Linked DNA regions of Oryzias latipes. The protein of the gene in region 5 interacts with the protein of the main gene of each other region in a biochemical or structural test. Links are inferred from orthologs where the notes say so. Each region holds a gene or a part of one and is shown on either strand. Other genes may lie near its edges. The genes, in order: death domain-containing protein CRADD-like, otud1, ikbkg, tnfaip3 and ripk1.

Region 1 (6,460 bases), on a different chromosome or scaffold from region 5:
ATGTTTTGTAACTGGGGTGTAACTGTCTCTGTTTTGCAGATGCAGCGGTGTTGCTTTTCTTCTGGAATATGTGCTCATATTCACTGTAACTCTGCAGCAGCACGTCAAGTTCAGCTGGAGAAAAATATGCAGACCTCTTTTTTTCACGGTTGCCATGGTGACTCGTAATATCTGCGCTCCATTGATAATGGCTTCTTATAGTCGCGGTGCGCACGCCTAACTCTGAATCAGTCCACTCAGAGTTGATTGATCTAACTCCGATCAGCTGCTCTGAAACAGAAAACTCAGAGTTGTTAATCTCTCGATTGACCAACTCAGAGTTCAGGTTTAACCTCAGAGTTGGTTGAACCTCCTTTCTGAAACAGGCCCCTGAGCCCACTTTCAGTGTGGACTTTAAACATGCTCAATTCTGATTGGAGAAAGTGGTTGCCATGGAAACGTGTTCTCAAACTGACTCAGACCAATCACTGCTTATTGAAGTCGTCTGGCTCCAAATGGCGGCGTCCGCATTCCAAAAAAATGGCGACTCCATCTCCTTCCTTTGGCCGGAGCCAAACATCAAAGTTTGGCCACAGTTTTCTGTGGGTGATGTCACTCCGTCCAGTTCTGTCATTCAGTCGCTGTATGAAGATATTTTAGACTTCTGGAAAGTTCTGGTCTCCAGTTTCTTTCCTGGAGCAGGTCGGCTGGTAAACATTTGTTGTCTTGTTCTTCGTTTTTTTATTTTCAAGCTTTGTGCTCGGTAAACAACGGCTGATTGGATGTTGAACTCTTTGAAAAAAGGAAAGGTTTGGGGACTCACAACAGGGGATCCGGTCCTTTCCTCACAGGGGATCCGGTCCTCTCCTCACAGGGGATCCGGTCCTTTCCTCACAGGGGATCCGGTCCTCTCCTCACAGGGGATCCGGTCCTCTCCTCACAGGGGATCCGGTTCTCTCCTCTTCGTTCTGCAGGGTTCATCCTGGAACCAAGATGGATCATATTGGATGTAAAGCAGGATCATCTGTTATTAGTTGTTATTTTTGTGGTCAATGTGAAAACAAGCAAAGTAATATTAACAGATTATTGTTACGACCCTGCTGGTGCTGTCTGTGCCCCATCCACCCACGCCCCGGACAGTCTCAGGGGGGAAGAGTTAGGCAGAGAATCAAAGTCTCCTTTTCAGCATCAACGTCCATCTATTCGAACACACACAAACAGCATGGAAGGGGCTTGTGTTCCCAGCATTCTCACTCATGGTTTTCACAACAAGATTCCCCACTTCCTATGAGTCTTGGGGGCAGAAGGCGGGGCTTTCCCTCAGGTCGCTACATTATATTCACAGATTATATTTACAGCACTACGCAGGTTTTTATCCAAAAACATAAAGATTTATATCTGATCAAGGAGGAAAACTCGACTTATCTCCAAATGATCGTTTGGGTAGATTTGAATAAAGAGCTCAACTTTTCCTTTTTGACGTCACTATGACGTCATTTTAATCAAATGACCGTTTTGCAATTGTTCAATAAAAAATAAATATATAAAAATAAATAAATAAATCTAAATTGGAATTGTTGAATGCGGACATTTCTGTTCTACAACTTCAGTTCCGGTGTAGGTACCGGATGTTCTCGGGTTGCCGGATGTTCTCGGGGTCCTTCAGGGTCCTTCCAATGAGTTATATCACTAGAGGAGACATCACGTGGTTCCTCATGGGAGGAGAGCACCGCCATCTTGGTGAGGTCAAGTTTTGAAGCCCAAACCACTTTTATAACATTTAATAAAGAGCTCTGTTTTTGCTTTCAATCACTTCATTATATGAAAAAGAAGAATGGCTTGAAATTGCTTAGTTTTGTTCAGAAATACAAACTTCACGAGTACCCCTAACTTAACTAGTATTAGACTACTTAGATTTTTTCTATGTTCCTTTATTTTATTTTACTTATGTTTTTATTTATTTGTGTGTTATGTTCATTGTTTCTTTTTTCCCCTCTATTCTTTATTTTCTATGTTAATATGTTATGTTTGGCAATGGTGACTGATCTTCGAGGCAATATTGATTACATCGTTATTGTTCGTTGTTAACGTTAATGTCATTGTTAATGTATGATACCGCAATTGTCAATAAAGTTTTTAAAAAACTTAGCGACGTTAACTCATTGGTCGTGGCAACTTACAGCCAATCAAATAGTGTGACGTCATCATTGGTCGAAGGACCCCGAAGGACCCCGAGAACATCCGGCAACCCGAGAACATCCGGTACCCACACCGGTTTTGTTGTTTCCAGTCGGGCACAATAACATGGACGGACAATGACTAACTGGACCGGTTAGTTGGAGCTGGCCGCAGCGACGGACCCAGCACGGGTGTGGTTCGGGTTCGGATGGATCCCGCGCACAAAGCTGTGCTCCGGAAGCTCCGCGCGGAACTCTGCAGCCAGTTGATGGTCAGCGAATCCATAGTTCCGGTTCTGTTTCAGGAGGGCGTGCTGACCCATGCGCACGTAGAGGACATCGAATCGGAACCGACCGACACGAGAAAGAGCCAGAAGCTGCTGGACATCCTCCCGAACCGCGGGCCGCGAGCTTTCCCCGCCTTCATGCAGTCTTTGGCGGACTTCAGCTGGATCCGGGACCGGCTGGTGCACGAGCTGAGGACCGAACCGGAACCAAGAGCCGCAGGTGCGAGTGGAGTACACTTGGGAGCGGTGTGGTACCATAACCAGGGAGGAAGAGGAGGATGAGTTTAGAGCACCACTACTGTTCAGTGGTGTGATGATGACGTCAGAGAAATGGTGACAGTCAGCAGGTTTCATGATGCAAATCTGTTCGGTTTCAATCATTTCATGTCATAAAAATGAGAATCTCTGCGGCTCAAACTTAGACATATGAAAGTCCAATAAATGAAGATGGAAAAACATTTAATTGAATTGGAGTAAAATGACATTCAGTTAGATAAATATGGAAATTTGAGTTGTAAAAAAATATTGAGTTGTTACCAATTGAAATAATTAATTTAAGTTGGATAATTTTATAATTTATATACATATATATATATATATATATATATATATATATATATATATATATATATATATGTATATATATATATATATATATATATATATATGTATATATATATATATGTATTTATGCGTCAAAAGGAAAATGGAAATGAGATCAGAAACTCGTGCGTTTACTTTGTCTGTTCTACTCCAAGCAGAAACTCTTTCTTTGCTGATGATGCAGCCGTGTTACTTTTTTGATGGTCGTATAATCTTCATACGCCGTCATTTAAATCTCCGACTCCGTCTCACTGAAGTATAGCGCTCTCTTTGGTTCTCCACGCGTTTCCATGGTGACTCCAGAAATATGTGATCTATTGAAAATGTCTTCATGTACCTGGGGCCTGTTTCAGAAAGGAGGTTCAACCAACTCTGAGGTTAAACCTGAACTCTGAGTTGGTCAATCGAGAGATTAACAACTCTGAGTTTTCTGTTTCAGAGAAGCTGATCGGAGTTAGATCAATCAATTCTGAGTGGACTAATTCAGAGTTAAGCGTGCGCACCGCGACTATAAGAAGCCATTATCAATGGAGCGCAGATATTACGAGTCACCATGGCAACCGTGAAAAAAAGAGGTCTGCGTATTTTTCTCCAGCTGAACTTGACGTGCTGCTGCAGAGTTACAGTGAATATGAGCACATGTTCCAGAAGAAAAGCAACACCGCTGCATCTGCAAAACAGAGACAGTTAGCGTGGAAAACATAGCTGCTCAAGTTTATGCCTAAGTTTGCATTTAAATCATTGTTATAAAATATTGGCTGTAATAACTTTTTAAATAGCGTAAGGTGTGAAATAAAAAATGGTGATATTTAGGTTTACTTTTGAAGTGTTATTCCTGGTGTAATTGCATGAAATGCTGCATAGTGTACAGAACCAATCTGGGGGAAAAATGCATTTAACGTCAGTAATGTTTAGAGGACTTTTTTGTTAACCTTCCCCTCTTGCAAACGTTGGTCAGTTTAATATTAATACATGCAATTGTGTTTTTAAAAGTGACCTTTTGTCTACCCTTGTATTGATCAAGTGGTTTATATGGGATTAAGAAAGTAAGCAGTGCTAGCAAATTGTGTTTCCATAAAGTAATTGGTACATTAATGTAATTCAATGTCCCTGATTTCATTTTCATGTAGATTCAATCCTGCAGGAATTAAAAGAACATGGCAGCAGTTAAAAATGAAGTATAAAAACATAATTCAATCAGGTCAAAGTTGAGCATGTCATGGATGTAGGCATGTTGACAATATTTGACATATGAAACATCTACATAGCAATATCTAATGTTGTTTTCATTGTATATATGTAATTGACTGCAACGAAAAACGGTAACGCTCAAACAAAAACGTCTGGGGAAATGACAAAACATCGAGTCTTCTCAAAATCCTCGCACGACGTTAATGTAATTCTCTAGGAATTAATGCAGCCTCCTCGTCTATTGGGTCCTCCAGAAAAGGACAAGCCATTCTTGTCACTTAGACCGTCTCTGTGTGACGGAAATGTGGGCAATGAAGGTTAAAGTGAAAAATACCGCTTCGTCTTTAAAAAGGGGAGGGGACCGGCAGAAACCTTGAGTTTAGAGAATAAAACCTGCTCCCGACCAGGTTAGGTTCACAGCATAAGTAACCATGGACACTGACTCCGAGTATAAGTTACCTCTCTTTCAGAAACGGGTTTGACTTACTCTGATTACTCTGGTTTAACAAACCTCCCATTCTGAAACGGAAAACCCAGGGTTTCCCTGATTTCAGGGTTAACATACTCAGAGTTTACACTAAACCTCCTTTCTGAAACAGGCCCCTGCTGTGCACGTGCGTTAACCCAGGGTTACCAAGTGGAGCGTGATTACGCCAACTCATATCCGGTCTTTTGTAACCGACATACCCAGAGTAAGCAAGTTCAGGCGGATTTCAGCCAGAGTTCAGGCTTAAAGTCAGGCTAGTTTAAACATGCTTCCTGGAATACCCCCCCGTTCGGGGTCATGGGACTAGTGCTGACGTCACATGACGTGTCAGACAGTGATTGGTCTGTAAATGACCATACTACCAAATGTGACGGTGTGGCAGCGTCAGCTGGCGGTGCTTTCCACCCTGTTATTTATTTTATGTTTTAATGTCTAAGACTGACTCCTGCTATGTTACCTGGGAGGTAATGAAGGGCAACGCCCAATAGGAGGGGCTTATCATTCAAAAGGGAGCATCACAGGAAGTGAAAAGGGAGAGTTGGAGGGTGTCATGTGCTGATGTGGCCCCGCGTGGAGCGGTTTAGTGATGGCTTCTTGTAATAAAGAACACATAAAATAACTAACAGGGTGGAAAGCACCGCCAGCTGACGCTGCCACACCGTCACACCATAGAAGAAGAAATCCAGCGGTCCGTTGTAAACAAGCGGAGCGCCGACACAGAGCGAGATTATCTTCTAAACTTTTATTATTGTTAGGATTGTTATTAAGTGCATTTGCAGATGAACAGACTGCAGTCAGAACCCTCTGGACCGCACACTGTACCAAAGCACCGTCCCCGCCTGCAAACACGAAGCTACGAGACTCCAGCTGGGTCACATGATCCGAGCCCGGGAACCTCCTGAGGCGGGCTGAGACGTGGTTCTTCATCAGAGAACGGACTGGACTTTGAATCAGTCCTGAATCGGGTCAGGACAGTCACTTCACCATGAGCCCACAGGCTGCTGATTGTAGTGGGCGGAGCCTACACAACTCTCACTTTGACCCGCCCAATCAGCGTGTTTGGAACATTAGGTGGGCGGGGTTAATTCCCATCAGTGTCAGAACCAACCTGGTTTTAGACACATCTGTGTAGAGGAAATGTAAAGCATTGAGCAAATGTTCTGCTGAGTTCTGACTGGAAGGTTCTGTTTGCAGACGCCTGTGGCCTCTCGGACTCGGTTCTGGAGAGGGTTCTGTCGGATCAGGAGCTGTGCCGGCTGTCATTCCGCCTCGGAGCCGAGTGGGAGGCGATGCTGATGGATCTGGGTCTGCCAGCAGAGGCCGTGTTCCGGTGCCGCTCCGATCACAGTCTGAGCACCCAGGCGGCGGCGCTGTCCGGACTGGTTCTGTGGAGACGGTCCGGAGGGAGGAGCGCCACGGCGAGGAGGCTGCTGCAGAGCCTGCAGGCCGCCGGCGTGCACGAGTCGGTGCTGGGGGAGGTTCTGACGCCACCCAGCAGCTGACCTCGGAAACTGCTCCAGAACCGGCCAAAGCCCAAAGAACCTCACCGGGAAGCGGGCCAGGTCACATGACCAAACGGATCGGGATCAGCCCAAGTTCTGACTCTCTAGAGAACCGACTAAAGGTCCAGATCCGGGTTCTGATTCTGGTCCTGACCCACTATGGTGTGAGGAGGAACCAAAGCTCTGCTTTGAATAAAACTTTATTAGTTTGACTTCAGCTGACACCCCCCCCCC
Region 2 (6,519 bases), on a different chromosome or scaffold from region 5:
TTGCTTTACAATTTTTAAATTATTCCCGTCAGGGTTTGGCGCCAGGTAAGGTTGTTTTTTAAACCTTTTGGTTCGCTTAAAACGATAAAATACAAAAAACAATCCTAGCCCGTTCAAACAAGGTTGGACAGATTATGTTGGCCTTCAATTGCAATCTTGGGTAAATCTTAAACGTACATTTTTAATCAATGTACAGATTTAATCAAAGATTTGGCAAGCTTACTCATTGCAGACTTGCCTTAGTGTGGCACAAAGATCACTATCAGCCACAGCGTAAATGAAGGAAGTGTGGTTAGACCCCAGCCCTACTTTCATGCCAGAGGTGCTTTTTTATCTGCAATTTCACAACAAGTGAAAAAAATGTGTTTTTTGGCAACATCTTCCAAGTCTACAATGCAATAGTATGTTGCTCAGGTTTGTGCATCACAAAGATCGAGAGGGAAAAGACTGAAACTTGACCCCTGTCGCTTGCTTCTATGCAGCAGGAAAAACAGATTAGCTGAGTCAGAATGTGTGGCTCGCTGCTGCTGAAGCTGCTGTTGTGCCCTTCTACACATCATCCCCACACTCCCTGCATACAATCTGAGCTCCAACTGCCATCAGCACTTCTGCCCCTGCAGTCTGCACACATGTTACTGTCCAAACTGCACACACAAAAAAAAAAACCTGCAACCGAACAGAAAGGCTTCAGCCACGAACTTCATGAAGCCGGAGGGAGGTAAAGATGGGCTTCCAAAGGGCTTTGCAGCAAATTAGCAATTATCCACCATGCCCTCATTTACATGCTCTGCCAATCGAACCTGTCATCATGGAGATAAGTTTGGATTTTTCTTGAGCTGTAATGAAGACACAGCAGCCCAGTCGGATACGATCACACCTCCAGGGCCAACACAACCACATGCTTTATCTTTGTATTTTATTGATCCAAAAACACAGAAGCAGGAAATGGAAAAAGTCCCTTTAAGGTGAGCTCAAAGGAAGCTGCTTCTCTCACTTAAGGAGCCAAAAGAAAAGAAAGTTAGCAGCAGTGTGAAAAGGGCAACTGCCACTTCAGATAATAACAGTGGGGCAAATGGCATCACAGCACTGATCTCCAAGTGGAGGAGATCAGAGGTGAGACTCAGCACAGTCACGCATAGAAAGAAAAATACTCTGCTAAGAGGAGCCATGTAATGGGGAAAAATATTCTGTATTATTTCTAACATTTTAGACAGAAAATAAGATAAAAATTCAACTCTAGTTTTAAAATTACGCATCAATTGCGTTTTTTTCAAATTAAGGCTAAAGTAGAGTTTAAAAATGACTTGTAGTCTAAATAAAGCTCTTAAAAGTTTCCCTTCCCTGGCCTGAGAAGGGAGAATTTTCCCTTATTCATCCGCGTAGAGTTCATCATCTGAACCAAATTAAGCAGCCAAAGAAATGATCTCTTACTGTGAAATTTTGGACTCCCTTTGTGCTCAGTCGGAGGAAGGTCCGCAAACTGCACCCGGTGCCCCGACATGTCCGCTCTTCCCCCCGCAGGTCAAAGCCTCTTCAAGTATGCGAGAACTTTTTGAGGATGCGTTCAGGTGCCGCTGCGTTTTGCGCGTGGGATCCCCGCTCAGATGCGTAACGGCGCGCACCCGTGGATTTATATTTTTATAAAGAAAGGCTGTCCGCGCGCGCCGATGCGCGTGCCAGCTGTGCGCTCGGTGACGGTCCGCTGTACCTGCACGCCTTCTTCTCCCTGCTCTGAACGGGTCTGAATCGAGCTGGGGAAGAGGGGGCGTCCACTATTCCTTTCCCGCATCAACAAACATGAAAACTTTTCTGCCCCGCATTAGTGCCCGCAGAGTGACGTCATCGCTGTTCAGAGATGAAGAGAAAACGTATCTTTTATGATTGTATTTATTTATTTATACCGTTCTATTGGCACTTGGTTCACTTGCACGTGCCTTTTGGCGCACTTTTATTGTTTTATTACATATTGTTTTACCTGTAAAATGTTCTCAAACTCTTTAATTATTTTTGGTTTAACATGTTGGTTGCATTTAGTTAGTTCTCTGTTTTTTTTTCTTAAACTAAATTGTATTTGTATTGAGGTTCTTTTTATTTTTAGACTGGTAATCTTTTGTGCGCGTGTTGTCCTTTATTTAGTTCTTTGAGCTGCACATTTGATTAGTTTCAGTATTTTTGCAAGAGGAAAAAGTGTTTATCATCTATTTGGCTTCTTTCAACGCCAAGTAACGATGTCTAGCATTTTTCTAATCCCTATAGTTTGAAGTCCTTTAATTTCCGTCCTAATTTGTATCAAATAAAAAACATCTGTGTGGTGAGATGTGAGGAGCCTACACTGCCATCTAGTGGATGGAATGGGAACACGGTGAGGTTGTCATCTGCCACAGGGAAACAAAACACATTTTGAATGAATGGTACATTACTTTAATGCAACAAAGAATCTAGGAAAACATGGATAAACAGGGTGACAGTGTAACTGAATACTCTGCAGAAAATTTTGTCTTTAAAACTTTTTTTCCCATTTTAAAGACCTACTCTGATTAAAACAGTTTTTTTAACATGTTCTTTTGCCCTTTTTTGATGATGGGAGCACATTTGTAAAGAAAAACTTAGTTAAAATGGGTATTTCTGAGTATTTCTTTATTCTTTAGAATAAATTTTATTCTTTATTGTTGTAAATCAGGAACACACAAAGAATTCTGTTATAAAGAGAGCGTGTTTGTGATGTAGAAAATATGTTGTCCAATCTGATGGATTCACTTGCAGATTAGGAGATCCACGTATGTCTTCATTTTCTTCATCTGAGCAGGCATATGGCTCAAACTGTAAGGCCGGATAGCTCCAGTATTGCTCGCCATTTTTGTTGCATCGGTAAATAATAGGTTGGGACTGTAAGCTATTGTGAGAGCGTGTAAACAAAGGGATGATGGGAAATGCTGCCACACAACTCAGAGGCAGATTTCTATTGAACTCCTGCCGCTCTGAAGAAACTATGTTACACAAGTTGAGAAAAGACACCAGCTAATCAAGCTAGAACATAACTTTTAACCTTTCAAAGCATCAGAGTGCAGCGTGCATCTCTTATCTCTTCCCACCATGCTGCACTTTAAAGGGAGGGTTTGTATAAGATTAGTGTTGTGCGACTAAAAAGACATGATCATCGATGCTGAATGACAGTTTTATGGAAACAATCAAATAAAACTGTTAAAACAATCTTATAAAATAAAAACATGTTTTTTTCCCCAACAAACTTCATTTAAAATAAAAAGAAAACAATCCAAACATTTGGAATAAATGACAAGAAAGCAGCACAAAATACAACTCTCCCAAACGAGTCTGACAGGACTTTTGTGCAAAAGAGAGCAGCTATAATACAGCTATGTGCCACTTGGAAAAAGACAAACACAAAGAAATGGAAAAATAGTTGACAAGTGCTAATAAAGATGGTCTGCGATGTGCACTGCACTTTTTTTCTGACAAACTTAGAAAACTTACAAAAGAATAATAATTTAAAGCAACCAAGCAGAGTCCACAGCATCCATCAGGAACAGACTGTGGCCTCACACGCAGCCATTCTGCTCTATGTACATCTTCGATAGTGAGGCCGCCATGGACTTTGCCAGCTCCTCGTCTCGTTTCCGCTGCATCTGTGAGCGCCGGCACCAGTCTTCGTACTCTGGGTTGGGAAGACATCGGCCCAGGACCACATCGTAGTGGCCGTTGCTGAGCCAGCTTAACCAGATGGCTGGTTTGGAGGCGTCCTCCTCGCCGAGGTAGTGCACCATGGTGGAGACGGTGGGACTCTCTGAGCTGCCGCCCGTCGTGAGGTGGATGTTGACGTTCAGCATCTGGCTCATGGCGAGGAGCTCCGGGTAGCCGGCCCAGGCTCCGTCCTGCGCCGCATTGATCAGGAACTCTCCCACGTCGCCTTCGATGATGGGGTTGAACTCGTCCAGGTGGTCGGCGATGTGGTGCACCGTCTGCTCCCGCAGCTCGCCGTGCCTGGTCTGGTCCCCGTACGTGGCTTTGCACACAGCTCTGTACAGGCAGTTGCCATCTGGAATGATGTGGTACCTGTATTGGTTCCTCTCCTGGAGGTACTTGTTCTGCTTCTCCACCTCAGCCAGGTACCGGCTGACTTTGTGGTCTCTCTGCTGGGACCCCTGCGGAGGCGACTCCTGCAGGACACTGAGCTTCAGAGTCTGGTTCTGCCCTGATGGTGGTGTACTTTCCATACTGTTCATGTCAAATAGATCCTCTGTTCTGAAGTTCTTCGTCATGGCAACCATTGAGGGGGCCAGTTCCTCTTCATGGAATGACGCCCATCCGTTGCTCCTATAAGGTCCAGAATCCTCCTCCTTACATTCCACTGTGGATTGAGTGGTTTTCTTCCTCTTAAAAGCAGATCCTCCTGGCAGTTCTGTGCAGCCTGCCTCCTCAGTCTGATGGTTTGTCCAGTCCACCATGGTCTCCTGGTCGGGGTCACTGCAGGGCTTGTGGGGGCGGCCTGAGGGGGGTTTGGGCTGTCGGATGATGTGAATGGGAACCGGCCTTTGCACTCCGTCGGGTCGGCGGATTAATATCTCGGCGGTGGAGGTGAAGTAAAGCGGCCTCCTGGTAGAAGCAGCCTCGTAGCACGAAAAGGCGGGCATGTTTCCAGAAGTCTCCGCGGGCGGAGCGGCGTGAGTTGACGAAGTTGTGTCAAGTTGGGCAAAGTCGACCTCGGAGGAAGTTCGCGGCGTCCCGTTCAGGCGCTCGGGGGCTGCAGACAGAGTTATTGTAACTTTCCGCGACGACTTCGGGTAGTGTGTGAGCGCGCTGTTGTACAGCTGCATTTTCCAACGGTCCTTTATACTGAACACCGCCGCCGGGGCAGTTACGAAAAGATGACAACGAGCGCTAAAAATACCCCCGGAGTCATCAACAGCGGGAAACTCGCGGGGAACGTTTCCATGGCCCCGAGTCCTGTTATCGGGGACACGCAACGACGACGACAAGGTCCACTTTAGCTGTGTGGCGTCATCTGCTGTTGGGGTGCCTCCCTAATTTTAGGCTTCACTGTTTGTAACCAAACCCCTTCAGTGTAAAAGCCCGTCAAATCCCGGAGGACAAAATACCAGTTCCGTTTGGGAAACTTCAAAATAAAACCCCTCATCGTCGTTTAATGTTTTTTGGATGTTTTAATTTTATTTGTCTCAGATTATAATCACAAATTATTAATTTGCATTTACTTTTATTATTATTTTTGTAATATATTATGTAGATTGTTTTTATAGCTGTTATTAATTTCATGCTATTTTTGTGAATGATTTTAAACAAATCTTAAGTTAAAGAAATTATAAAAATGTTACAAGAGTTTTCGGGAATAAAAAAAAAATCATTTCTTAACCATCCTATATTGTCCAGACTAACTCGTGTTGTTGAAAATGTTATTAACTGTGTAAGTGGAGAAAAATAAATAACTAAAGACTTGAAAAAAGTTAAGTTCGTATATTTTTTAACCTTCAGATTCTAACATTCCAACTTAACTACTAACCTAGTACTTATAACGTTTTCAATTAAACCCAAAGTTATGGTATATTTGGCTACCTAACACTTAACATCAAAAATCATTTTCATGATTAAAAATCTATAGCTAAAATTCACAATAATGGTGTTTTATAGGTTTGCAAAGTTTTATATGACAAAATAAAAATCTATTTTTAACATTTTAAATAAAACATTAATAAGGGAAAATTGTAATCCCGCAGAACCTCAAGTTAATTTGAAAATGGGTTACAGAAAAAAAGAAAACTATTTTTAAATTAAAAAGCCTTGTTTGTATCTGTCTTTTTGTATCTATCTTTTTTGAGACAAGTTTTACATTTTTTTTGTCATTTGTTTTTATTTTAATTCATGAATTTTTATTATTGATGCCTTATGAATGGAAAAACACAACCTTTTGATACATTAAAAGAAGCAAAATAAAAGTATTTTTTCTTATATCAATAAAAATGTCAATTTTTATCCAAACAAACCTTAAAATACCATGTAAAAGCATAATTTGTTTGTGAGCTGAAAGTATTTGGTGCATGTGAATATGTCCATTGGACATTATTGGCAGACATGTCAATGCTTAGATATGCTCCTGAAGCTTTTTTTAAACACTTACACTGTCAGAGCTTGTGGATTGTGGAACTCAATCTGCGTGCTTGGAATAGACATCCGACTGGCGTCAGTTAAACCCACAGCTGAAAAGTAATCCAATCTTTTCAGGAAGAACATTCTGGAAACATTGGTTACACAACATGGAGAAATTAATTAAATTATTCAACAATATCTGTTGTCATTGAGGGAAAAAAAAGAGAACAAAAATATTAAAATACTGAGCTTATGGTGCCCATTATTTTACCATTAACCCAAAAAAAATATTTTTACATTTTCATTATCATTGTTCCAACAATTACACGTTCGCGTTTTGACCACCAGAGGGAGTCCGACGACATAATGTTTTAATGAAATGTTTTACCATAAACAACCGCT
Region 3 (4,167 bases), on a different chromosome or scaffold from region 5:
CCGGGCGTCCCTGCAGGTCTTCAGTCTGACTTGAGCTGCAGGACAGACCGGAAGACGGGGAGGAGCCTGGTCCGTTCGCCGTGACCTTCAGCGAGTGGTTTTCCTGCGCCAGCCTCTCCACGAGGGCCCTGGCCTCCTGGAAGCGACAGCTCAAAAACTCTCGCTCGTCTCTGGTTCTTTGCTGCCATCCCTCCATCTCTTCACAGCGCAGGCGGAGAGCTTGGTTGCTTCTCCGCAGTGCCTCTGGAGGAGCAAACATAAAGTACGACTTTCGTCTTTCGGTCTCACACAGAAGTTTATCCAAACTTTGCTGCCCTGACTCTGTTCTTATGCTGTGATACTATTCACAGATAGAAGAGACAGCATTTACCACATCTGAATGTGTATTTACATCTGCTAGACATGAAACCAACTTCCTGTGTGCGTTCAGGGCAGCTTGAAGTATCCGTCACTCCATTTTAACCAAAAATATCCTTTAAAGACCCACTCCGATCATCTTTTGATCTATTTTTAAACACGTTCTCAGTGGTCTTTTTGATATAATGCGGCCACTTTTAGCCATAATCTAAAAAGACTGCCATTTTCAAGGACATAATTCCTGCAGAGTGGCAGCGATTCATCAAAAATTGACCTCTGAGTTGTGGGCGGGACTGTTGACGTGGAGTAAGCCTGCCCCAACTTCCCGTCACTCACCTGTTTACCCGTTTTCCTGCTAGCTTACAGCCCCTCACACCCCCAACCTAACACTACCGGAGTGACAAAAATGCTGAGAAATATTGGAGCTATCCATCCGTCCAGTTTAGATCCAGATTCCAGCTCAGACGAGGAAAACAAAGACGCACATGGATCTATTTGTCTGCAAGTGGATGCATCAGAATGGAGCGGAGCAGGAAGTTTGTGGCCCGCCAATCATATTTTCTACATCACAAATAAGCTCTTTGTCAAACAGCATTTCACCACACACTCCTGATTCACAACAATTTGAATAAAGAAATACCCTGCAAGCTAAATTTTCTAAGACATCTGAGAAGATGATAAAAAAAAAAAAAAAAAAAAAAATTTTTAATTTTCATCAGAGTGGGTCTATAAATCAATCAAACTTTAATTATAAAGCACTTTTCATATAAAAGTATAACACAAAGTGATTTACATTAAAACAAAACAAAATAAATAACATAAAACAACAATTAACATAAAAAGAAAAATAATAATAAAAAAGAAGTATGAAGACAATATGTTGGAAACGCTAATAATTGGAACCTCCCTTTCTGTGAACAGCCGCATAACCAGCCAAATGCAGCATCACAGGCGGGGACCGCTCCACCACAGCTAAGCAGTGATGCAGGTTCCCATCCAGAGCCGCAGTGGCTGAAGAGCAGCCGATCCAGAGGGAGAGGTCCAAACTATGAAGGAGCTAAATAATTAATTATTTCTGTTTTTCTGATTTTTTTCCGTTTACAAAACAGGCAAATATGGTAAATAACTAAAATAGTGTAAAAGATGGTTAAACCACATATAGATTTGTTTTGAATTAAGCTTCTCTTATTTTCTGCTTTTACGTGTATAAAATATGTCAGTTAAAAAGCTGAGTTAACTAAAGCAGAAACTAAAATATATATACCACAATGTTTTAAGAAGTCAGCCTCTGATTATAAGCGAGCTCCACCCCGCCGGACCTAAAATGTATTTAACTTTAAAAAAAAAAAAAAATATGTTCCTGTCATGGATGAGAAATTGAAAAGAAAAGAAAGCGTAAACAGGGTCAGATGAAGAATCCTCGTTAAAAGTTGTGTGAGCGAAGCCGTGGGTGCGATACCTCTGAGCTGCTGGTTGTCACACAGTAATCTGGACACCACCTCATGACCAGCAAGCTCCGGTGGGACCCTGAGGGCCCCGCCACTGTCCTCCCCTGACATGTCCCACTGCATGGGGCCGTCGGGCTGCGGCTGGACCATTCCTGCAGGATTACAGTGGATTATCATCACACACCTGTCAAAGTCAACATCCAGTCCGTAAGCGTGGAAACAGGTTTGAGCCCTGACATGTGCACCAGGACCAGACTTTCACTTTCATTTTGATTCTTTTACTCATTTTTGTTGAAAATATGAAGCAGATCTGCTCCTTAAAGGCTTCAGCCTCTCTGCTAAAAAAAAAAAAAAAAAAACATGTGGACGTCATCCATGAACATGACTGCAGGTAAGGAAAACATTACGTCATCGTCATCACACCTTAGGCCGGGATAAAAGACACATTGGGTTTAAAATAGCTTTAAAAATGAAAGTAAAGAGAACGCAGTTGGATTTTAACAGAAAAAATAAATAAAATCAACGACCTAATTCCAAACTAGACTGATGTTTTTTTGGTTTTTGGACATCCGTGACTGTCTCTGAACAGTTTGGACGCATACATACTAGTTTATTTTAACAAAACAAGGACAGGATCTCTCTTACCTTAACTTCTTTTTCCCTTTGTTGTCCAGAATAACACACATCCAGAGTTTTTACAGTCCCCCCCTCAAACCTGCGCCAGGAAGGAAGCTCGACGAGTCCAGAAGCACTATTTTGGCTAATTTTTAGCTAGCTAGGCTAATGCGGCAGTGAAGGGCTGGGAAAGCGGCCTCGCTCCTCGGCTGTCATAAACACAGCTTCACGCTGGCAGACTATCGAACCTTAAAGGCACATTCTGTGTGGATGTAGGAGGCCTTTTCTTCCTTTGCTTCACGTTCGCTACGGGGTTTTCGTCCGAGCCGAGGCGACTGTTGTTAGCTCGGAAAATTCCTCGAATATTTTAACCCTGAGTTTTGCCTTTCAGGTGTCGGTTCTCCGGTTTGTAGATCTGAAAGGGGAACGGTTTGAGTATCTTATTTTAAGCACGAACAAGTGTGTAAAGTTTTCCTGCTGAATTAGGTTTTATAAATATAAGATTTTCTACTTTATTTTAATTGATAAAGCTTGCAAATATATTACAGTGAAATATAAAAAAATAATAAAACAGTGAAAGTTGAGTGGGATCACAAAACATTGCAAACTCAGCAAAGTCAAAGTCAGGTTTAGGGGGGGGGGGTGATGATACCAAAAAAAAAGAAAAAGCAGAAAAATCAAAGAAGAAGCAAATTGCAGAAACTGCAACACTTGTTCAAGTATCAGGGATGACTGGTTGACACACACAAAGAAACAGACACTTGATGAAAGAAACTGCTTGAATAAATCAATGCAATAAACATCCTAAAACTTCAATAATGAAGGGAACCAGACAACAGAACAGATAAAATGAAGAGGGTCTGCCACGAATCGACAACGGGATTAAAAACTTGAACCTGGAGCGCTTTGGACCCATGACTGAGACAATAATTTGATAGTATGCACTTTGAAAAAGCCCCAATTAGTAAAAATAGCCAATTTTTAAAATCAATACTAATGTTTTTCTGTTCTCACATGAGCTGCCGCCTCTGACCTGCACCAAAAGCCAGCCGTGTGCTAATGACACATGGGGAGTAACACAAACACAACAATGTGGGGATCCAGCTCATGTTCCCACAGGATTCAGTTCTTTAGGAAAACTGGATTTAAATGGATTCATCTAGATAGGGAGTGGGCAGTCGGGAGGGTTGAGGGCACTCTATGTTTTATAATTTCAGTTTTAATTGTTTGAAGTCAGAAAAGCACTTTGTGTTACTCTAGTAGGAAAAGTGCTGTATACAGAATGTTAAATTTGATGTTGAAAACAAAATAATCAGAATTTGCATCTGTTTATACAATATTGTATTATTTAACATGTTAGCTTGCAGCAGCACACCGTACATTAGCAGTTTGAACTGAAGAGACAGCCATAAAGAAGTGTTTACATCTTGGAGGAATTTTAAAAAAAAATTGGGCACCAAAATTAGGCCGCGTCAAAAGTTGCCTGTCAGGTAAAGCGCAGGGAATCTAAATTCCGGAAGATCCCCTTTCCTTCTTCCGCAGACGCTCGTGACGTCAGCAGGCCGCAGCTTCCTGTAAGCGGCTAAAGTGAGGGAGGTGACAAAAATGCTCTCCGCTCCCGCAGCCCGAGCTTTTCTCCTTCTGTCTTGGATTTCTTCGATTTCTGCGCTTTATTTTCACATAGGAGAGACGGAGAAGAAATGTTTCATAGAAGAAATCCCAGACGAGACGATGGTCATCGGTGAGT
Region 4 (5,875 bases), on a different chromosome or scaffold from region 5:
CCACTGTCCCCACGCTTACTAAATGTCACCCTGTCCCCCTGTTATGGCCCGTTCAGCCAATTTACCCATTCTTAAACTGCCACAACCCCCCCTCCCACTGAAACCTCTACCCCTCCCACGTGCGCTTTACTTATATATATCTATATATATATATATAGATATATATATCATTTTTTTATGTGAGGGTGGGGGCCCTGACACCATTGCCCCAACTTTAACCTGGAAACAACTGAATGAATGTACTACTAAGAAAAACATGCATCACTTGAACTTTTCAATGTGGAAATCTGTGAAGTTGACAAGAGAGAAGCGGAGGAAGACTAAAGCAGTAACCCGGTTAAGCCTTCTAGTAAATGGAGCACTCTGCATTGTAAACAGAGGCCTAGATGATGTTATCTGATAGCACCCACAGCCCAGTGCATATCGACAATAATAAAAATATTAAAATAAATTACAAAAAGACAGATCTAGCAGGGCAAATATCATGTAATACCTCAACAGCCCCACCTTTTATGGCAGAGGGGGGTCAACGCAAAACACATGAGTCAAGAACCACACCAGTCAGATTTCTTAATAAAAATAATTCATTTCAAGACAACATATAAATAATTATTGAATCACACAATACAGATATCTTGATATGAATAAATACTTAACAAATAAAACCAGTATTTGTTTCATACAACACCCTATCATCAAAAGAAACTTCCACACCGTTTGCATGTTTTTTGTTACACCTTCTGCCCTTAAGCCGATGGTTTTTCCTACTGCTGGAAGGTCCCTACACAAGTCAGGCGACCGCTCCTAAATGCCTCAGCAGCTTAGACAAGTCATGTGCAACTTTTAAAATCTCCTCTCCACCAAACTCGTTCCGAACCCCCAAAAGCCATGTTTTTTGAGGGCCAGTAGAGCTGGCTGCTAATTGGCCTGTTATTGGTTAAGGTTCATCTAGAGGTGATTAAAGCACACAGAAATCTACATGCAGGCCATCAGCGTGTGGGCTGGCCTGCTGACAGCTTTAGATACAGTTGAATGAAAAAGGCAGACCAAGAGCCGGTGAGTCACTTAGAACCGGAGCCACAGATGGACATCTACAGCTCGGAGGGGGAATAACTCGTGTGAGCTATCACTTTTGATTTCATTGGATTGCTGTTTTATCCACTTTTGCAGATAAATGACTCTGTAAGTTGATTTGGGGATTTTTTAGGTAAATTTGGATAAAAGATTATGTAAAAACGAAGATGTCCATCTGTGGCACTCTAAAATGACACAGGCTGGCCATTTTAAGGAGGTAACAACAACTGTTTGGCAATTGAGGGCACATGTTTTTTTTTTGTCTTTTAGCAGAAATCAAATATATCAAAATACTTAAAAAATAATTTAGGAAAAATCAACAAAACAGGAATGTCAGTTTCTTTGTGTGTTCCAGAAGCACACATTCGTGCATTGTGTGTGTGTGTGTATGTTGAAGATGAGGCATCGAGTTGGAAGGTCCTTAAAAATATGGACTTGGATCCATATTCACAAAAAAGCGTTTTAAAGGTGGGAGCACTGATCGGGCCCCTTCTGGTCCATTAAATGTCATTACTACTTAAAGGCAAAACTTATGGAGGATCAGCCCCAAAAAGTGTGCTGAAGTGAAAGAAACAGCACAAAGATAAACTTCAGATAAACAAGATTAGCCAAAGCAGGCGATGACATTGGTCTCTGAAGTTGTTGCCTTGGCAAATCCGGCGGGGTGGAGCAGGAAGGAATGCATCTCTTTACAGGTTTACCTACATCACACCTCAAGCTCGAGCTGGGCCTTACAATCTCACAGAGCTGTGTGCAAACCGTGTTTGTAGTGGCTAGGTGAGGTATTATGCAGACTGACGTACTTCTTTTGTTTTTTTATATTCTCACAGGTTCTCTTTATCATTGGAAATCCCCCTTGACAAAATCAGCGGAGCTATATCAGTGCGTGCGGCAATCTTCTACGCGTTTCTAGGTGCTTAGGTCGTTAGGTAAAGACAAAAACGGTGTCCAAGGCAACAGATGTGTTTTGAAAAAAGGGGAAAGAAAAGGGGAAATGAAAGGAAGTTGAGGAGGAATAGAAAGAGGGTGACTCCTTCTCTTCTGCATTCACTGCCGTCTGGGTGCTGACACCGCCAGCATGTTGGCTACAATGGAGAGACTTGATCCTGTACATGTAGCACCAAAACTAGCAGGGTCCTGCCCTGTCTGTCTTGCACCGTTAAAACTAAATGGTTTGTTTACATTTTTCTTATTGAAGAACTAATAAATTGCTGCTGAACCAATGAAGAGATTAGAGATTCACACTGATAAAAACTCAGAGGTAAAAAAAAAAAGTGAGATTTTGAATTTTAAACATTGGGCTTCTTCTTACTGCTTCAACAGACACTCAGTTGGGATTACCCAACGCCTGCATGTCTCACTCTACAGAACAAATGCTTGACAGACAGGTAGACGGATGGGTTTAAAATCAAATTAGATAAAATAATCAATGGCCATACATACATAAAGACGGACACAGGGTATGAATCCTTGGCTGTGGTCGAGAAAGCAATGTCAGATGCTTCATGTCATGTTAACATACAATCATTTTGTCCGGCACGATTCGCTACGTACCTCTAGATACATAATGTACACAAGGGTTGAGTCAGTTGCTCTGACATGTAGCCAAACCTCTTACCGTGTAAGAACACACAGCAAATCAAGATGATCATAATTGCACAGAGAGGTATTCTGGAGGCCATGTCTACTGCAGACGAACAAACACACAAACACACTCGTCACCTCCCCCCCATGTACACACACTCTCGCTTCACATTCTACATGGGGGGGTTAATTTTCAGGCCATAAGGTTACTAGTTACTCACTAGCTAGTTAGTTAGTTGGTTAGTTAGTATCAGAAGTGCATTGATAGGCATGAGGAGCCCGCAGCAGGGCGTTGGCTCTAGCAATGGGTTTTCATCGTCACTTTTGAGCGTGGTCGTGGTCAGCCGCGATAAATCTGTTTGAAGTGGTCACACTCGTTGCAGTAGCCCTGTTTCTCTTGGTTGGCGTAGTGGTCGCAGCCCTGTGTCCGGCACCGCTGCTTTGACTTCTCCTTGGGCGCCTGCGCCCGCCTTCCCGCCTCCCTGCCTTGGCCCCGTGTGTGGCACTCCGGACAGAGGTCCGTGCAACCCGGCGACACGTTACTGCAGCCGCTCCGCCGGCACTGAGTCTGGGTCTGGGATTGCTGTGAAGATCTGGGCTTGGCTGCTCGGTCGCGCTTTTGGTGCAGACAGAGAAAAACAAAACAAAAAGAAAAGGGTCAACTAGGAAGTGCTGAAGAAAGGTAGGCAAATAAAAACAACTGATGGAGGAGACACGGGCCACACATGATGATACCAGCAATGGCACACACATACCATGACTAGGGGAGGGGAGTGTTGTGTGCGATGAGCCACCTGGTTGAGCCGTGCACTCTGCTCTTTGACGTAGCACTTGTCACAGAAGCCCTCCAGCATTGCTTTGCCAACTGCTCCACATCCGGCCCCACGACAGCGTGTGGCATTCTGGAAACCCGTGTCCAACCCGTGCCGACTCTGAACTGGTGCTGGGGGTGGAGTCAGGTCTAGAACAAAGAGTGGTAGACATGAAGAATTTAACACTATATATGTTTGACAGAATGATGAACTTTAATAGGACTTTAGGACTTACGGTGGTTGGTCTGATAGTCTACATAGCAAATAGTGCAGAAACCCAATTTTTCCGGTGTCCCAAAAAACTGGCAGCCCGATCTTTTACAAAGTTTGGCAAGAGGGGCCTGCCAGCCAGGCGTGTGTCCTGGGGTTAGGGTGAGGCATGGCCGCTCAGTGCCTCTGGCCTGACTCCAAGCAGAGGATGAGGCCTCAGTCCTGGGGTTGCTCTGCTGGGGCTCACCCCTCTCCGGAGCTTGCTGCCTCTGCATGCAGAGTGGGCACAGGCCATTGAATATCCTGAACGCCTCCTGTCTGCACATGTTGCATCGCTCTGTCTCTGTCTCACAGCCCCCCCACTGGGTCCAACCAGAACCCTGGGCCGGGTGGGAAATGACAGGTCCCCCGTTGGGGCCTGGGAGTCCTGTGGCAGCTGTCCCAGCTGCAGGGGGTGCGTGATTCTGTCTGGAGTTGAAGCAGCGCTCGCAGAGTCCATCGTGCTCCACACTGAGAGTGAACAGGCATCCAGGCGTCTTGCACTTCATGGCGTGAGTTTCACTGTATAGGCTGAGGCTGGGGGCAGTGGGAGGAGCTGAGCGGGGGCTTGACAACACCACGCCTCGCCCAGAAGAAGAGCAGAGGGGACTGCTGCTTCTGGCTCCTCTGGAGCTCACCTCAGCCTCTGATCCTCCCATCACTCCTACTCCACCCTGCACACCAGCTCCTTTGGCCTGAACCACCCCCTCTATCCTCGCTCCTCCACCGGTGGTGGCCTGTCGCTTCTCAAAACATTCGTGGCAATGAGGCTGTGTGTCCACAGAGACGTAAAAGGTGCACCGTGGCGTGGCACAGCGGATCTCAATGAGGGAAAGCTGAGATACGGAGAAGGGGGGAGGGCGTTGTGGCTGGGCGGCCCATGCCTGTTCCTTGTCTTCCTGCCAGCGCTGATACTCGTGGTTGACAAGCTGCAGGTAGTCCTCCATCAGGTTCATATCCTCTGGAAGGTTCCCCTCATCCAGCCTTAGGAAAGAAACAGTCTTTTAGTGTCCTTCACATTTATAAAGACTACTTTGAGTCGTTTAGAGAAAACAAATGTTTTAGATTTAGGATTTCACAAAAGAGTTGATAGTACACACCTTGCAGCTTTCATGATCCAAGTGACATCGTGGCCCAAGCCTATGACGGGGATCTCCATCAAGTGAAGGTAGTCATTAAGAAGTCTCTCCTTCTGTGGCTGTTCCTTCTCCATCAGGAAGTGAACCTTCAGCTCATCAAAGCCTCCTCTTCTTGGGTTGATCAGCGGCACTGCTCGAATCTCTGCAAAGATCAGTGCAGGTCAAGCAGACAGTCTCATCCACAGAAGGTGGTCATTTTTCTTCCTGCCATTGCAGACTTTAGAGCCCCTGCTTTTGTGTTTCGTACCTGGGCCACTGTCTTTGATGGTGATGAGAGGCGCAAAGTGCTGGGAGTCGTAGCCAAGCACTATTGGGTATTTGTAGCACTCCGTGGGCGGCCATTGCAGAGGCAAGTATATCCCACCTACATTCAGTGGAGAGATGGAGGAGCCTGATTTCATACTCCTGACCACCTGATCTGTTAAAAAAAAGAAAATAAAAGAAGAAATAAGCAAAAGAGCAACAAACATCCTTTTCTTGCTAAATTAGTTGGCATGTCCCTGAAAATGAAACATGTAAGAAATAAGATGAGTAAATAAGCTGTAGGGATCAAAGAAGAGCACCTGCTATGACGACGATGGGCCTGCGGAGGATGTTGGACAGGATGAAGATATGAATGTCCTCCAGGGAGTCAAACTGGAGGCCGTTACTGCTCGAGACTGGAGACGCCATTTTCACAATCTTATCCCATTCCTCCTCCCAGTTCTAGGACAACACACACTCAGTTAGGCCTTACCTGGACACTCATAGTGCCTGCAAACATAATTTTACTTCACACCACCAACAGGCACTGTAAAGTATTGATAATGTTTATTTTGGGGTGAACATAAACAGGACGTTGGGTCATCCTACCGTGGTGGTGTACCGCAGTCCTGTTTGGGTAAACTCTTGGGACTGCAGCAGCTCAGTTTGGAATCGGGCCTTAAATACTCCAGTGTCTGTCTCCTTGAGGACGCTGTGGAGAGTTTTCCTTAGCACCAGGTCTGTATCTTGAACACCCAGCATGTACTGAGAGGC
Region 5 (5,509 bases):
TGAGGATACGTTCACCTGCTTCAGACACTACCCAGCAATGTGTGCTGGCAATGGCAAGGCAGCTAACAGGGACCCATCAGTGGATCAAGAAACGCCAGTTTCGCAAAGGCAGAAGCAGACTAGTGAAGGAGATTCCTCCAGGAAGTCCCTGATGGCCACAGTAAGGACGACAGAAACAAACAACTTCCACATTACCTTGGAGATGATTCCAAGGCCCAGCCAAGAGGCTTGGAACTGATCATGCGGACTGGAAAACAATATTATAAGCTTCTTTATTTTAATTGTCATTATTCATTTTGTAGATTTTTTTCTGTCAAATCTGCTCATTTTTCTGCAATATTGTTTAAAAGTGTTAAAAATGGGAATGAAGGCACAAACTTTATGCCCCAGCAACATTTGCACTCTTTTTAAAATAAAGTCAAGGTAACTTTGAGTTTTACTAGTTTTTTCCTAACATAACTGTATTTGATCCATTAAGAAATGTAATTATCAAAGGAAAAAAGACTTTAAAATACAGGAAAATATTAAACTGCAAAGTAAAAATACGGATACTAGTAAATGCTTTTTCTTAAAAAAACAATTATTTTATATAAAAATAAAAAAAACTTCTGTTTTCTCTTTTGCTGACAAGGTTTTCTTGATCTTTCATACCAACAGCATGGTGTTGATGATAAAAATGAGACGTTTTTCTTAAAAAACTGTTTGCAATGACCTTCCGATGGCCCCTTAGCCACCGTTTCCTCTTGAAAGCTGCAGATCTGAAGCTGTTTCTTCAGTCACATAAACATCCAGATTTTAATTATTTTTCCCACTTGTACACATTTCATGTCACTGTCTGGGACTTTAAGGGTTTAGTCATCTCGTGCACTGATTTTTTTTTTCTTAATTATTCAAGCTTTTGAGGGTCCTCAACTGTCTCTCCTATCATGAAACCTCAAATAAGTCATGATGAGCAAAACAAAAAATTTGACTTATTTCACCTCCAGATGAATAAAATAAAAAAACTGTTTTATGTTGGCAGACAAGAAAAGATTCTACAAATCGAGCAAATTCAGGATGGGTTACGTACACACACAAAAAGGGATTTGTTGGTCAAATTGGTTATTTATTTTGTGGAACCTAAAAAAAATTACCAAAATTCTGAGTTTTTAAAGGTCTTTCAACTTGTAAAATAAGATACTAAAAATTGGCTGATTTCACATTTGCACAAACATTCTGTCCCAATTAAATGAAATGTTTTGTTTTTGTCCAACTTTATTTTGCCACACAAATATACTCGCCTGTTTTGAGTCATTAAAACCTTTATTTATTGTTAAGAGAACTGAAATCCTGCCGATTTGTGACCATAAATCTTGCGTAGATTCCATGGGTTCTGTTTGTTTAGACTTGGAAGAATTAAAAAAAGAAAAGTTTGATTTTCAAAGGAGGTATTTACTCACCTTGTGTTTAAATCTAACGAATGTTGTGCTAAAATGTAGTTTTAATCTTCGTTCAGTGTCAGCCCTTGAGGATTTTTCAGAAAACAATGTTTTCTTTTCTCATTTTGTGTCCCTCAGAAAGACTAAAAAGATTGGTCTGAAGATGAGGTGTGTGCTTTTGAGCCCAGACACGGAGTAAAGCGATCAGGACGCATCTGCAGGCAGCCAGATTTGAGAAAGAGCAGAGAAATACGGAAGAGATGTTGGTTCTGCGTTTATTTGGATTGTCCAAAAGAGAGAACCACAAAGTTCAAGAAGTTTACCTTACAAGAGAAAATCACAGAATTGTACAGATTGGAAGTCACATGAGTAAATAAAATAAAATCAGTCAGACCGTCATAAGGTAAAGCAACTCATAAGGTAGAAGACAAAGTGGCGTCTGCACAGAAGATCCAACACTGATATTCATAAAACTCTCAAAGTACAAAAGCAGGTTTGTTTTTTTAAAGCTAAAAAACATGGATTTTTTACAGTATGACCACAGACACCCCAGCAATACGTCATTACAAAAATTCATTAATGTTCGTTCATGTTACCTACTGACATTTTGTATTCTTCTGATTCTGTTAAAACTGCACATATTTGCTGACTGTTTACGTCTTTTAATGTTTTGATCAAATGAAGTCAAAACATACCATTTCCATACCTGAGGTTTTGGCCCTGTACGGGTCACGTGATGGCACACATAGAATGAAATCTGTAATACTGTGGACTGAAGGATATGGTGTGGTTATTCTGAGCCAGGCTTGATTTGTGGCAACATTTAAGTCACATATATAGGATAAAAGGCCTCAATACATTTGTCCAACTTGGTTAGAAGTAAATGAGGCAAACTGAAGAGCGCCAGAGGTTTAGGCCACGTGAGAAAGACCGCACATGTCCAGTATCTTCTGAATGACATCTACTTTAATGTTTCCATCCAGAGCTCTGCAAAGTTTTCCAACGGTGCAGCCAATGGATCCCTCCTTCATTTTCCAGCGCTCCAGCATCTGGTGGACCATCTCCGGCAGGCCGTCGCGGTAGTAATCGTGCTCTATGGTCTGGATTTCCACATCCTTTAGACCCAACCGACGGGCACAGCGCTTCCAGCTGTTCCCTATGTTCTCTGTCAGCAAATACAGGTGCTCCTCTGTCACGGCTTGGTCCTCTAAAAACATTAAAAACAATAAAAAAACCAGTGTAAATAATTAAGTGCATCATATGGCAAAAATGGAAAAAGCTACAACTACTCTGGAAAAGGCTGTACAATTGTTGGATTTGACTGCCAAAACTAATCAGTAAATTATTTTATTTCATAAAATAATATATCTTACCATTTCTGAATGGTATTGCACTGATCTAATTCATATACCAAAAACATTAATAGATAAATGATAAGCATTTTTAAGTTTCAACCAACAACTTCTTCTCAGAAAAGAGCAATAGCACCTTTTGTCCAGCAGAGGGAGCTCCTCCTGTTTGCATTCTCCATTTTTTTATGGTGAACTAAAACTACAGACCTGTTTATTTAAATAAAAAAGGCTCCTTTAGCTTAAAAATGTAACAAAAAATTATCATTATTTTTTTTTGCTTTCATTTTAACGTTGACTATACAAATAAAGACAGAAGTTTTATGTCAAAATTTTACACAAATATTAAAAAACAATTTGTATTTAGGCATCAAAATTATTTTCAACTTTCAAAAACATGTAATTTAGTGGTGATCTCAATATCTTTAAATTCCCATTTTAGCCATTAATAAACACTTAAAGACACACTCTGAAAATTGTGCTTTTTAACACGTTTAGCATTTTTCTCACGATGGAGGACATCTATAAAGAGAATTAATGTCTTTACTCAAATCTTGACATCAATTTTTTGAATTGACAATGAATTAAATCGGCAACCACAAATTATAATAATTATTAATAATAATAATTATAAATCTAACTTTTTCTAAACTTTAACACACAAGTATAGTGTGTGAATCCACAAAAAAAAAGGAACTGACCGTATTTTAAAAGGCCTTCTTGGATGGGAGACAAGCTGCTTCCAGACACACACTGTGAAGAAACGGGGTTGTCAAAGGCTCTGATACTCAGAGTGTTGTTGTTTCCGATTTGGATCCCACTGGCGTTCTGAATGAACAGGGGTCCTGCAGAAGGTACATGTAAAGTCACTGTCCCCAAGCAGATGGAAGTATTCGAGTGCGTTTTTGTGTACCTGGCTCCTGTGGTTGGAAACCTTTAGACGGGGTCCCACAGCCACTAGCATTCATATCAGGAACAAAGGTATCAGGAACCGGGTAAACTGGCCAGGACTGCTGGCGGTCTAAATGGGGGTGTAAATGCTGGTTAACCTGCTGCAGAGAGGACATACTGGCAGAGGCATTTAAATGGGTCGGCGTTGGTGAGGCCATAGAACTGGGATTCACTGGGTTCAGAGGAAAGAAAAGCTGGTCTGAACCGGTCGGCTGCACCGGCTCTTTAGTCCAGGAATGGACGGAGGACGTGTCTCTTGCCGGCGGCCTCCCACTTTGATCCAAGGGACTGACGTGGTTTTGCAATAGGTGATTTGGGGCATTGTTGTAGTAGCTGCTGGCGGCCGGGGGATGCATGTCAGAGTTATAGCTGCCATGTATGTGGTAATAAAGCTCTCGACCCAGCTTCTCCTCCAGCTCTGAAGGTTGTCTGGCATCTGCTTGAATGGAATCCCCCAATGGTTTATAGTTGATGACATGGAGATCCTCGATGCTGGCTTCAACTGGTACCGAAACATTTGTATCTGAACTCACCAAAGGAGCAGGGGAATCTAACGGAATTAAAAGATGTTAACTTTTTCACCATGTTTTTTCAAGGATTTGTTTGGAATAAAACTTAGACCAACCTTGCTCGTTTGTCAAAAAGCTGTCATGTCTCACAGACAGTAATTTCATCTTCTCAACAAGTGTCATTGGGCCCTCATAGTTTTCCTGCAAAAAGAAAAGAAAATACATTCATATATTTAACGCAGTAATTGCTTGTGATGATCTCCAAACTAAAAAAAAAAAAAAAACTAAATGTTAAAAATAAATTCTGTTCAAGCTAAACCTAAATGGTTGCTCTCAAAGGATTCACCTTCAGATCCTGTAAATCGTTCTCTATATGGGGTTCCAGATTTTTGGCATAAAAAGGACAGAAAATGTCGTAGGCTTCTGCAAAAAAAGATAAAAAGAAAAGTTAGAGTAATTGCGAGAAGTTACACTACTCACAATAAGTTAAGGATATTGTGAAAAACTCAGTGGATTACTCATAGGGACCAAAAGCAAACAATTCTAAAAGGAAAACCTTTTCAATGGGGCATCTATTTAAACAGAAAAAGCTGATTTTTGTCAGGAGGTCATTCAAACAGCCATGAACACATAGTGTCACTTAACAAACGAGCAGCGGCACCTGGCCATAGCGTGCATTCAGGTTAGTAGTCGGTGGTCAGATTTTGCAGGTGAGGTTGTCTCAAAGTGTCATCAGCAGACTACTGGCAGAGTTCAGGACAGACCCAGTGACAGACCGCAACCATGAGCAGAACCTAAGGACCTCTGACCTCCAACACGGTTTAGCAAACGCCGCACAGCTGCAAGCCCATTTACCAGATGTGATGGGGGGACTAGGGTTTCCAGACAAACCATTCCCAACCAGCTCCACCGCCTTGACTATAATACCTGCCTACTGTTGCAGGTGACTCTACTGACACCAAGACACCGCCGTGAACATTTGCAGTGCGAGACCATGTGACTTGGACAATCCAGCAATGGTCTGCTGCCCTGTTCACTCATGAGTGTCGGGTCACCTCACACAGAATTGCTGGTCGTCAGCGTTGCTGGAGAGGGTGAGGTGAGCGATACGCAGAGGTCGACATGATAGAGGAGCTGCATCAGTCTGTCTGAGCAAGCATCATTAGTCATTGCACGTAATTACCTCAAAACCATAGAGCTCACCATCATCCCCCAATTCTACCTGCAACCCCCCCAAATTTCTGTTCATGGCTGCTGGTGCTCCACCACATCGTGCCAGAAT

Evidence for each region.
Region 1: the proteins of ripk1 (region 5) and death domain-containing protein CRADD-like form a complex in vitro, tested with the Homo sapiens proteins (2 studies listed by BioGRID). The link is inferred for Oryzias latipes from reciprocal best matches to the Homo sapiens genes RIPK1 and CRADD.
Region 2: of the proteins of ripk1 (region 5) and otud1, one has a biochemical effect on the other in vitro, tested with the Homo sapiens proteins (2 studies listed by BioGRID). The link is inferred for Oryzias latipes from reciprocal best matches to the Homo sapiens genes RIPK1 and OTUD1.
Region 3: the proteins of ripk1 (region 5) and ikbkg form a complex in vitro, tested with the Homo sapiens proteins (4 studies listed by BioGRID). The link is inferred for Oryzias latipes from reciprocal best matches to the Homo sapiens genes RIPK1 and IKBKG.
Region 4: of the proteins of ripk1 (region 5) and tnfaip3, one has a biochemical effect on the other in vitro, tested with the Homo sapiens proteins (2 studies listed by BioGRID). The link is inferred for Oryzias latipes from reciprocal best matches to the Homo sapiens genes RIPK1 and TNFAIP3.

What each region holds. Positions count from the first base shown.
Region 1 is NC_019881.2:23,807,947-23,814,406, reverse strand, and holds the start of death domain-containing protein CRADD-like, read left to right. Parts: upstream 1-2,189; 5' UTR 2,190-2,365; coding exon 2,366-2,663; intron 2,664-5,918; coding exon 5,919-6,226; 3' UTR 6,227-6,460. UniProt on the Homo sapiens protein: Adapter protein that associates with PIDD1 and the caspase CASP2 to form the PIDDosome, a complex that activates CASP2 and triggers apoptosis.
Region 2 is NC_019878.2:19,215,241-19,221,759, forward strand, and holds otud1 (OTU domain-containing protein 1), read right to left. Parts: upstream 5,124-6,519; 5' UTR 4,833-5,123; coding exon 3,558-4,832; 3' UTR 2,407-3,557; downstream 1-2,406. UniProt on the Homo sapiens protein: Deubiquitinating enzyme that specifically hydrolyzes 'Lys-63'-linked polyubiquitin to monoubiquitin.
Region 3 is NC_019865.2:4,851,536-4,855,702, forward strand, and holds the start of ikbkg (NF-kappa-B essential modulator), read right to left. Parts: upstream 2,801-4,167; 5' UTR 2,451-2,800; intron 1,958-2,450; 5' UTR 1,956-1,957; coding exon 1,817-1,955; intron 244-1,816; coding exon 1-243. Other genes in the region: transmembrane emp24 domain-containing protein 4, read left to right, coding at 4,026-4,161. UniProt on the Homo sapiens protein: Regulatory subunit of the IKK core complex which phosphorylates inhibitors of NF-kappa-B thus leading to the dissociation of the inhibitor/NF-kappa-B complex and ultimately the degradation of the inhibitor.
Region 4 is NC_019873.2:16,691,346-16,697,220, reverse strand, and holds the end of tnfaip3 (tumor necrosis factor alpha-induced protein 3), read right to left. Parts: coding exon 5,711-5,875; intron 5,564-5,710; coding exon 5,422-5,563; intron 5,277-5,421; coding exon 5,106-5,276; intron 5,001-5,105; coding exon 4,820-5,000; intron 4,704-4,819; coding exon 3,706-4,703; intron 3,620-3,705; coding exon 3,414-3,619; intron 3,275-3,413; coding exon 2,999-3,274; 3' UTR 567-2,998; downstream 1-566. UniProt on the Homo sapiens protein: Ubiquitin-editing enzyme that contains both ubiquitin ligase and deubiquitinase activities.
Region 5 is NC_019875.2:26,465,134-26,470,642, forward strand, and holds the end of ripk1 (receptor-interacting serine/threonine-protein kinase 1), read right to left. Parts: intron 4,651-5,509; coding exon 4,574-4,650; intron 4,429-4,573; coding exon 4,344-4,428; intron 4,269-4,343; coding exon 3,681-4,268; intron 3,613-3,680; coding exon 3,469-3,612; intron 2,626-3,468; coding exon 2,330-2,625; 3' UTR 1,676-2,329; downstream 1-1,675. Other genes in the region: opsin-5-like, read left to right, coding at 1-238. UniProt on the Homo sapiens protein: Serine-threonine kinase which is a key regulator of TNF-mediated apoptosis, necroptosis and inflammatory pathways.